3 linked regions of the Sus scrofa genome follow. The protein of the gene in region 3 binds, or shares a complex with, the protein of the main gene of each other region. Links are inferred from orthologs where the notes say so. Each region holds a gene or a part of one and is shown on either strand. Other genes may lie near its edges.

Region 1 (3,745 bases), on a different chromosome or scaffold from region 3:
TGAGCTGCCTCCTCCTTCCCCCCATCTACCTTTACTGCCCCTCTGGTCCCTGGAAGAGAAGCAGGAGATGGGGAGAAGCCCACACAAGCAGAGGCTCAGTGCCTTCCTCAAGGTCTTGCTCCTGGTAGCCTGGGCTACCCAGCCAGCCAGCTCAGCCCTGCCACTTGCCCGAGGCCACCTGCTCAGGGGTTTTCCCCAGGCCACATTCCCCATGGGCTGCAGGTTGAGGAAAAGTGGAGGGGCTCCTATCTGCCCTTTAGATCCCTCCCAGGCCAACAGCCCAAAGGGAGGCACCTCAGCTAACTGGCCCAAGGGCCAGAATGACAGATGCAGGGACCCCTCCGTGACACCTTGGGCCAAGGGGGAGAGCAAGATGGGAAAGATGAATCCCAGCTGGAGCCGCTGGGACCAGGTCTGTCTCTATCAATACCCAGGCCCTAGGTTTTCTTTAGAGGGTGGAGGGAGAATGAGAAGTTAGAGGGAAAAATCACTGTCCCCAGTTAAGCATCTCTTTACAAAGTGAAGGCCCAGGGGTCCTGGGAGGATGTGTACCCTACTCTATGAGGATCCATTTGGGGGACCTCTACTGGAGACACGAGAATCTCCTAGCTTCCCTGAGAGATTAGCAAGAAGCCAGTGTCAAGTGCTGGGATACATGGATTGGGATACAGATGGCGTTGTGAGAACCTAAAAGGCTAATTAAAAGTGGGGATGGAGTTCCCGTTGTGGTGCACTGGAAGCGAATCCGAGTAGGAACCATGAGGTTGCAGGTTCAATCCCTGGCCTCACTCAGTGGGTTAAGGATCTGGCATTGCCATGAGTTGTGGTGTAGGTGGCAGACATGGTTCGGATCTGGCGTTGCTGCGGCTCTGATGTAGGCTGGCAGCTGCAGCTCTGCTTCGACCCCTAGCCTGGGAACCTCCATATGCCGCGGGTGCAGGCCTAAAAAGACAAAAGACAAAAAAAAAAAAAGTGGACAGAGGGTAGGAAAAGAATGGGCACAATTCCTAAGCATTCTGGGGCAACCAGAAACAATGAACTTGGGGGCTGGTAAGCCCCAACCCCAGGGTCAGGCTGAGTTCCTCACACACTGACCCCAAGAATGGAGTCTCTGCATCTCCATGGCCTTTGAAGCTGCAACCCAAGAAGCCCTCTGCAAAGCCAAGCACCAAAGAGGTAAGGACAGAACCCTTTGAAGCAACTCTCACAGGCTCCTCCAGCCCCAGACCAGCAAGGCTCACTGGAGCCTCTATGCTCCCCCAGACTAATCAACTCCTGGACACTGTGACACCAGGCAGAAAGCCAAAGAGAGTCTGTCCAGAATGGGCTGGGTTTCCCTCCTTTCTCAGGCCTAGCCACCACCCTCTCTGGTCTAACCCAGAGTCACCCCTGTGTGAAGGCCCCTGCGCATGACCCAGGAGTAGACTCCCCCTGCACAGGCTGGAATCGCTGGTCCTATCCTCCACCTCCTGTCGGTGGGAAGCCAGGCCCTTCTTCCTCCTCAGCAGCTGGGAGCCATCTCAGACACGCTAAAACTCTGCCAGTTCCCAACTAGAGAAAAAAGAGCAGCCTTGGAGTAGGACCAAGACCAATGTAGGGTAACCCTGGTTTCTCAGTGAGGGCCCTTTTCCAAAACTTTCTCATCACTTCCCAGGACCCCATTGCGGAGAATCTACACTAGACTTCTCAAGCCACCCGCCTACAATTCACTAGCTCCAACAACTCCTCCATCTCTCAGTTACTCAGAACCCCTGTTCCAAGACCTCACACCCTCCCAACAGCTTCAAACCCTTCACCCGAGAGTCGCTCTTACCTTCTCCCCTAACTCCTCCGCAACCACCTAGCCGAGCCCCAGAGTCCCTGGCTTTGCCCCGCACAGTGCCCCGTGAACTCCGCATGCAGAGCCCCTGTGCCCTCTGTCAGGAAGGCTGCTCCAGGACCCTCACTCGAGGCCTCTTTCGCCCCCTACCCGAGTGTGCTCGCGGCGCCGCCCGCCCCTCAGCCCTCCTCACCTGGTACTGTGCTGCGGGGCCCGCGGGGCCCATGGGGCGGAAGGCGGCGGCCCCCGGGCCCCCCACGCCTCCAGCCGGCCCCGGCCCCCTTAGCGCCGGTCCGGGCAGCATGCCGGGTCCCGCTGGCGGAGGCGGTGCTCCCAGGGCCGCGGCAACCGCGCCGCCGCCAGGGCTCAGCGGGGGCAACGGGAACCCGCCCGCGCCACGGCCCGACATCGCTCCGTCCCGTCCCGCGGTGTCTCAATCCGGGCTCCGGGCTCCGCGCTGAGTTCGCTCCGCGCTCCGCGGTCCGGGACTTTCCGATCTAAATTCCGGGTTCTGGGGTTTGTTGATCCGGGTTCCGGGATTTCCTAATCCAAGTTCGCGAGTTCCTCACAAACCCAGTTTGGGGCCGGGCCGGTCTTGATTCCGGTCCTGCCCGGGAAATTCCGGATCCGGGATCCGCTACGGGCCCGCTAGCCTTCGCCGGTCTCTGGAGGTTTCAACGCCAGCGTCCAGTTACCCAGAAGCTGCAGTTAACTCCCTCCCCCGCCTAACCCAGCCCAGCGCTAGGCCCCGCCTATACCCAGCTGGCCAATGCGAGGATGCCCCCTCAAATACCGCCCTCGCGAGACCCGCCCCCCTACAGGCACCGCCTCTAACCGCCGGTCCCCGGAGCCCCGCCCATACCCTTGGGCCGGCCCTCCACTGGAGGGGAGGGGGCGGAAGCAACTCAAGAAATGCAGAAGGTCAGAGGTCGAAGGTCACTAGCACTACTGTAGTAAACGGGTAGTTGCTGCTCTCTTCCCCCCTTGCGGCTGGTTCGCCGAGGTACCCAGCCTCGGTCCCTGAAAATAGTTGTCAGAGCTCCTTTCTACGTTTTAACATTACAGACAACTTAAAGCTGCTTTCTGCGGCAGAACAGCCGCCAGCGTGACTCTAAAAGCCCATCCTAGTGGCTCAGAGCTGTCAAGAGACTTGGCTGCTCCAGACCCTATGCAGCTGTGCGAAGAGTGGACTTGGCCAAGCGCCAAGTTTTTATCGCATATTTCGAACGTGCCTCTGCCTCACTTTAAGGAATTCTAATACTTTACTCCAGAGGAAATGTTTCTAGGAGAAGGAAGTTTGCATTATGAGAAACCCCTAAGTTAAATAAGGTCTTTCTCCAGGATTTAAAGCACTATTCAAAAACTTAATACCTTTTCGGAAATCAGATCTGTGTTAGCAGGTATGCAAAATAAAGCTGCTTCAGCTGTGCCAGGGAGCCCCTCTGACATTCTGGGATTTTTTTTCCCCATGATACAGACCAGTGCTTCTTTAAGGAGCATAAGAAACATCTGAGGCTTTTGTTAAAAATGCAGATTAAGTTTCAGTAGGCCTGGGTTCTAGGGTAGGCTCAAGATTCTGCATTCCTAACAAGCTCCTGAGCAATGCTGTTGTTACTCAGACTACACTTTTTAAGTATCCAAGATAGACTTTTTTACCATACAAATCCTCTCCTTTGTTTTCATCCCCAACCAAGACTTGCCCCACAGCGTTCCACATTTATAGAGCAACCATTTTTAGTCAGTTTTGCTCATCTGTACTTCCTGGTATCTTTCCTCCAGTGATAAACCCTGCTTTTGCTGCTGCTTTCCTGCCTCTTGGTCTTCTCAGGGATCCCTCTCCTCTTTCTCCCTAAAAGTGGGTTACCTGTCAGTCTGAGAAGACCACTAGAATTGTTCCAGTCATTGAACCAGGGCCCCTCTCTCCGG
Region 2 (3,233 bases), on a different chromosome or scaffold from region 3:
TTCCTGATTCTCTGTAAACGTGTGACTCTCACATCTGTCTCTCCTGACCGCTCTGTGTCCTGGTTCTCACTCCTCACCCCACCTCACCCAAATCTTTTTTTCTCCTAATGTCCCTGGATCTGTCTTTCTCTCCTTTGCCCCTTCCCCTCTCCTCTTTGCCACACGTCAGGCTCAGGGGCGCCAGGCCATGAGTGGGCCGAGGCCGTGGCGCTCCTGGCACCCCTGCCCTGTGCCAAGCCCCAGGAGGGGAGGAGCGGGGCCGGGCTCAGTCTTCATCTTTCCATCCCTTCCCTTCCCCCAGTCCCCGGCTTCCCGCCTCCCTCCTCGCTGCTTCCCACTGCAGCTGCAGCAGTCCGTTGCCAGGGCAACCACAGCTGGCTGGGTGGGAGCCCCCTCCACCCCATCCCCCCCTCTTTTCCTTTCCGACCAGGCAGGGAGGAGCGGGACAAAGCCAGAGAAAGGCGGGGTGCAGAGGGGAGCCAGAGGTAGGGGCCAGCTCCAGCTGTTAACCTCAGTTGCTTCTCCCCCAGTGAGGCCCCACCTCCAGTTTTGGTGACGCCCCAAACCGGCCTGGAGGACGAGGCAGACGTGGGCAGAGGGGTCAGGCCCAGTTTAATACACAGAACAAGTTAATTCACAGCAGAGGCAGGCAATAAAGGAGACTCGTTTACAAGGAGGGGGCACGCCTGGATTGGAGGAGACCCCCCCAAACCCATCACCTCCCCCACTTGCAGTCTCATTTTCCCTTTTTTTTAAAACCCAAACAACAAACACAACCACAAGAAACAACCACGCCCCCTCGAGACCCCGAAAATGGCCAGCGAGGGTGGCAGGGGGCGGCCCGGCCTGGCCGGTAGGGAATTGGGGCGGGGAAAAATCTAGTCCTTTGCAGAGTCTGTGCTTCTCGTTCCAGCAGGCGCTGGGCAGGGGCCCGCCTTGCCCCACCGGCGGCCAGCCATGGCAGCACGGAGTGGGCACGGGCCGGGCTCTGGGGAGGGAGCGGGAACAGAGCTCAAAACCATGGTTCACATCATGCAGTATCCACGGTGGGCACCAAGGGGGTGGGGGGCCAACACCACACCACCTGCCCTGCGTACAAGGAGGGAATGGTGCCCACCTTGGGTGGGGAGGTGGGACAGCTGCAGTGCCGCAGACTGGGAGGGAGGGGCCGCCAGGCAGGAAGCTGGCATAGACTGGTGCCCAGGAGATGCGCTCGGCAACCCCCCTCCACCCAGCCAGGCCTTATAGGACTCTTTGTATATATTAATTTCTTTTTTTTTTTTAACTTTTTGACTTTTTCTTTAGAAAAAGGCTATGTCCGTGCCCCCAGCTGGCATCCACCACCCCTCGTGCCCGCCCAGAGGCGGGGTATGGCTTTGAGGGGAGCAGAAGCCCCTGGTGCCCATTTGCCAAGGGGTGGGGAAGGAGGGAGGAAGGAGAGGGCCCAGCTGGGCCCACCAACCCACAGGGCAAGCATTCCACTTGCACGGAGGGGAGGGGGTGGCCCCGCCCCCCTCAGGCTCGCCCGCCCCTCCCGCTGTGGGGCATTAAGGATGGGGAGAGAGTGGAGGAGCTCCGGGAGGAGACTCAGGTAGGCAAGCACCACCCCAGAGGTCCAGGTGAGCCAGAGCAGGCCTAGGTGAGGGTGATGTAGGCAGAGGCCTTCTCTTTCAGGTGCCGAAGACAGAGGTGACAACTCCAGCTCCCTGTAGGGTGGCCCGAGGACAGGGAGTAAGACCTGGGTCTGGGCACGGCTGCCCCCACCCCCGCCCACCACCGGCGGGCACCATCTTCCCCAGCAGGAAGTCCACCTGCCAACCCTCCCCCACCCCCCCAGGCCTCCTCTTCGCTCACCTTCTGGGGGCTCCGCCATGGGGGGACTCAGGCAGTACATGTGGTAACCCCGATCACAGTCGTCACAAAACAGCAGCTGGTCCTGGGGGGTGAGACCCGCCCAGCTGGCACCCTGGGGGCACGGGTACCAGAAACCGGGGTGGGGGGGCTGGGGCAGGGGACAGGTCAAAGGGGCTGGGGGAGGTGGTCCCTTCCAGGACAGAGGGCTCTGAGGAGGTCATCTTGGCAAAACCCTGTGAGTGAAACGCCCCTGAGGACTGTCAGTTTGCGGTTTGTCGTTTGGGTTTTCTAAGGTTCTATGGCACACTGAAAATGACACTGGGGCGGTCAGAAGCAATGGATGCGGTGTCAGGTCCCAGCTGTGCCATCTTCTTAGCCGGGTGACCTTGGGCAAGTCTGCTCCCCTCTCTGAGCTCCCTCCCTCTACCTCAGGGTGGTTGGGAGGAGTCGGAGAGTGAAGAGTAGTAAGTGCCAGGCTCAACTAATGGACACTAACTAATAATCATGGTACAGGTTACTGGGTTCACCAGGGAGGGGGCTTCAGGAAAGGCTTTAGACCCAACTGGCAAAGCCGGAGGTGCTGGAGGGAGGCGGCTCCGGGGGCGTGTCCCGGGGAGGGGGGTGGGCACTCACGTCGTTCTCGGAGGTGCCACACAGGCTGCAGGACTTGCACTCGATGCACTGCCAACGGTAGGTTCGCACGGCCGCCGTCATGTTCACCGTGAACTGTAAACACGAGGGGTGTCCTGGGGGCCGAGGGGCAGAGATGCGGTTAGGGGTCGTTGTGCCCCTGGTGGCTACTGACCCCTGGAAGTGAAATGGCTCAGCCCCTACCCCTGGCTCACAAGGCCCACAGGCTGACCCCACCCAGCCCCGGTGCCCAGTGCCCGTCCCTCAGGCAGTGCTGCCGTGGCCACCAGTCTCCTACCCAGCCACCATGGCAACCACACTCTGCTCCCCAGAACACCATGGCAACCGCATTCCATTACCCACAGTGCTGTGGCAACCCCTTTCCACCACCCACAACACCGGGGCAGCCACATTCTGTTAACCACTGCGCTGAGCAGCTGCATTCCATTACCCACAGCAGGATGGCCAGCCCGCCCTGTGAACCGCGGGCACGTGGCAACCCCAGCCTCCCAGCCACGATGCCATGGCAACCGCCTTCCACAGAGGGGTCTCCACGCTCTGGTTCCCTGCGACCCAAGCCCATTACACATGATGCCCCAACCACCACACCGTTACCCACGTGACTATGCAGTGGGCCAACCCCCTGGCCATCCCCCCACCCCCGTGCAGACACCCAGCCGCTACCCGGGGCCACGACAACTACCTTCCACTACACCCAATTGTCACAACTGTATTTCACTGCCCGTAAT
Region 3 (3,745 bases):
CTTCCTTTTGCCTCGGGGTGTGGTCCTAAAAAAAAAAAAACAAAACAAAAAACGAAAAATAACGGAGTTCCCGTCGTGGCGCAGTAGTTAACGAATCCGACTAGGAACCACGAGGTTGCGGGTTCGTCCCTGGCCCTGCTCAGTGGGTTAATGATCTGGCGTTGCCGTGAGCTGTGGTGTAGGTTGCAGACGCGGCTTGGATGCCACGTTGCTGTGGCTCTGGCGTAGGCCGATGGCTCCAGCTCCAATTAGACCCCTAGCCTGGGAACCTCCATACGCCGCGGGAGCGGCCCAAGGAATGGCAAAAAAAAAAAAAAAAGCAAACCCCGCCCACCCCCTCCCCCCCCCAAGTGGCCTCAGGCGATGCCCAGAAAAACCTAGGAGCCTCTGGTACAAAACCTGCTTGCTTGATAAATAGCTCCAGAAAGGAATAGATAAAGAGAGCGAAAAGGAAAGGAAGCAAAAGCTAGGTTAGCTGAGTGCCATGTATGAATACGTGTACATGTGTGTACACGTGTGTATGTATAAGGTGTAGGCACTAGGGGATGAGCAGGAAAAGAGGAGTCATCAGAAGGACAAGGGTGGAAAGAAACAGGGAGAAAATCGAGACACACCTGTTTCCTTACCTCTCCTCCTTCCCTACCCCACTTTCCTGGTGATTTCATTTAGTTCAGGGTATGGCAGAACCTTGCTCAGGAGCCTGAGAATGGACGAGTCTGCGAGACTATGGCGCCCTCTCCTCGACCCCATTTTAAAATAAGGAAGCAGAAGCCCTGTCGGTCACCATACAGAGTCCTGATCTCCGGATGGACAAGGTTTCCATCTCTTGCCTACTCCTGCTTCTTGCCTGCCTATCCCTTAGGGCGGGCCTCGAGGTCCTTGATCCCGTTAATTCCCTCCCTGACGCCTAATGTTGAGGTGTCTGGCCCTTTAAAGCAGCAGCCCCCGGTCGAGTTATTGTCTCCCCTCTCAGCCAATCGGCGGCGCCGTTGGGGGCGGGGGACCCGGCCTCCCGATAGGCCGCTCTGAGCCCCGCCCCTCCCGGGATTCCGGGAGCTGTCCGGCCACCTCGGTGCTGATCCCGCCGCCGCCGCCCACGGGCCGCGAGCAGCGCTGAGAGGGCACTATGAGCGGGGGCGTCTATGGCGGAGGTGAGCGAGCCTCGGGCTTCGGGCTCCCCAGCCCGGCGCGGCCTCACCCGAAGCCCAGCGCCCCGAACCCGCGCGATCCAAGCTCTGGACACTCTGGGGCCTGTCACTCGGCGCTACAGCGGGTCCAACCCGGGGTTTGGGTCCTGCACCGCTCCAACCTAAGACCCTTCCCAGACGCTCGCACGCACTCGGCCCAACCTCTCCATCATTCAACCCACCTCCACCCGGCCCCCAGCCTGGCAAGGAGAGTGGCCTGCACACGGGCCACGGGTCAAAAGGGACTTTGGAATCTTGACCCCCACTCCCAAGACCCCGAACTCCTGGCCGAGCTCCCACCTGCCCCGTCCGACGTTGAAGGTGGTGAGACTGTGGCTCTGCCCTGACCTCCTCTCGGAGCAATCCAAGGGGAGAGAGTTTGGGACAGGTCCCCTCACAGGTCTGTCTCTCCGCACAGATGAGGTGGGCGCGCTGGTCTTTGACATTGGCTCCTTCTCAGTCCGCGCTGGGTATGCTGGGGAGGACTGCCCCAAGGTGAGCCTTCCAGCCCCCTCCCCAAATCCTGCCCCCCACCCCCAGGCTTCTCAGTGATCTAGGGTCTCAAGGCCAAGAAAGAAGCTCTGCTGAGCTGGAATTTGGCAGTAAGCCCAGGGATGGGCTGAGAGCCCTGCCAAGGGCCTGGGTAGGTGCAAGAGATTGATTTTTCCTCTGTATTTGCCCCCCTCCAGGCTGACTTCCCCACCACTGTGGGGCTGCTGGCCGCAGAGGAGGGGGGTGGGCTGGAGTTGGAGGGGGAGAAAGAGAAGAAAGGGAAGATCTTTCACATTGATACCAACGCCCTCCACGTGCCTCGGGATGGAGCAGAAGTTATGTCCCCCCTCAAGAATGGCATGAGTAAGGGGCTCGCACCCACTGCCTCCTAACACAGACTGGGAGCCCACCCCCCCTCACCCCAGGGCACAGCACTCCACACCCAAGGAGTCTTCCTTGCAGCTGCCCAAGTCCCAGGGATGCCCTCACTACTTTGCACAGCTGCCTGGTTCCTAACCAGGGGCCACCAGATTCCTGGGGAGGGGGAATTTCTACGGGAGCTTGTCTCACCTCTCCTCCATTGGCCTTGGCCTCCCTCCTTCCTTTCCTTCCTGTCCCTGGACACCCGCCTGCCCACCTTCATCTCTCCCCTGGTCTCCTGGCCCCAGTCGAGGACTGGGAGTGCTTCCGTGCGATCCTGGATCACACCTACAGCAAACACGTCAAGTCCGAGCCAAACCTGCACCCAGTGCTCATGTCTGAGGCCCCGGTAAGTGCCTCATCCAGCCCCTAGTTTAGCTCTGGGTCCCACCATTTACCATTCACCTCTCTCATCAAGCCACTGCCATCAATCACTCCACTTCGCTTTTTGGACTTTCCTTCCTTTTTTTCTTTTTTTTATTTTTAGGACCACACCTGTGACATATGGAGGTTCCCAGGCTAGGGGTCCAATCGGAGCTGTAGCTGCTGGCCTATACGACAGCCACACCAATACAGGATCCAAGCCACGTGTGCAACCTACACCACAGCTCATGACAACGCCGGATCCTTAACCCACTGAGCGAGGCCTGGGGTTGAACCCCCATCCTCATGGATGCTAGTTGGGTTCATTAATAGCTGAGCCACAGGGGGAACTCCCTCAGAGTTTCCTTCCAACACCATCATCTTCAACTACTTTCTTTCCTCCCTGGTTTAATCTCCATGCCTCGCTCTTCCCGCCCCATCCACGTGCTTTTCCCCCAGCCAGACTCCTACACTGCCCCTCCACTGCCCCTCCTCCCAAGATCTTTTTTGAACTTTTAACTTAAAATTGTTGTCCATATTATATATACACATCAATAGTCAATTTACAATAACACAACATTGTAAATGAACTATACTTCAATTTTTGGGTTTTTTGGGGTTTTTTTGGTTGGTTGGTTGGGTGGTTTTTTTTTTTTGTTTTTTTTTTTTTTTGTTTTTTTTTTTTTGCTTTATAGGGCTGTACCCATGGTATATGGAGGTTCCCAGGCTAGGGGTCTAATAGGAACTATAGCTGCCGGCCTACACCACAGCCACAGCAAGGCCAGATCTGAGCTGGGTCTGCAACCTACAGCACATTTCCTGGCAACACCAGATCCTTAACCCACTGAGCGAGGCTAGGGATCGAACCTGCAACCTCATGGTTCCTAATTGGATTCGTTTCCACTGTGCCACATCAGGAACTCCTATACGTCAATTTTTAAGTAAAAAATAAAGTGAAAGTGATAATCAATTTGCTTTAGAAAATATGTTAAGGGAAAAACTGGCATTCATACCCTCTTTCTTCTCTTCACCCTTTTCCAGAGGCAGTTGCTTTTCTCTTAGCTTTTTTTTTTTCCCATTACCTTTCATATCTCTGATTATCACACTTGAATTGAATTGCTGATCATGATTTTTATTTATTTATTTATTTATTTTTAGGGCTGCACCTGAGGCATATGGAAGTTCCCAGACAAGGGGCCAAATCAGAGCTATAGCTGCCAGCCTACACCACAGCCACAGCAAGGCTGGATCTGAGCCTTATCTGTGACCTGCACCACAGCTCT

The links.
Region 1: ACTL6B (region 3) and SMARCD2 share a complex: the UniProt entries of both Homo sapiens proteins name them as parts of the BAF complex. The link is inferred for Sus scrofa from reciprocal best matches to the Homo sapiens genes ACTL6B and SMARCD2.
Region 2: ACTL6B (region 3) and DPF1 share a complex: the UniProt entries of both Homo sapiens proteins name them as parts of the neuron-specific chromatin remodeling complex. The link is inferred for Sus scrofa from reciprocal best matches to the Homo sapiens genes ACTL6B and DPF1.

The regions. Positions count from the first base shown.
Region 1 is NC_010454.4:15,090,485-15,094,229, reverse strand, and holds the start of SMARCD2 (SWI/SNF-related matrix-associated actin-dependent regulator of chromatin subfamily D member 2), read right to left. Parts: upstream 2,305-3,745; 5' UTR 2,229-2,304; coding exon 2,013-2,228; intron 1-2,012. UniProt on the Homo sapiens protein: Involved in transcriptional activation and repression of select genes by chromatin remodeling (alteration of DNA-nucleosome topology).
Region 2 is NC_010448.4:47,141,417-47,144,649, forward strand, and holds the end of DPF1 (zinc finger protein neuro-d4), read right to left. Parts: intron 2,601-3,233; coding exon 2,488-2,600; intron 1,967-2,487; coding exon 1,855-1,966; intron 1,707-1,854; coding exon 1,636-1,706; 3' UTR 590-1,635; downstream 1-589. UniProt on the Homo sapiens protein: May have an important role in developing neurons by participating in regulation of cell survival, possibly as a neurospecific transcription factor. Belongs to the neuron-specific chromatin remodeling complex (nBAF complex).
Region 3 is NC_010445.4:8,566,051-8,569,795, reverse strand, and holds the start of ACTL6B (actin-like protein 6B), read left to right. Parts: upstream 1-1,021; 5' UTR 1,022-1,126; coding exon 1,127-1,151; intron 1,152-1,605; coding exon 1,606-1,682; intron 1,683-1,876; coding exon 1,877-2,042; intron 2,043-2,347; coding exon 2,348-2,448; intron 2,449-3,745. UniProt on the Homo sapiens protein: Involved in transcriptional activation and repression of select genes by chromatin remodeling (alteration of DNA-nucleosome topology).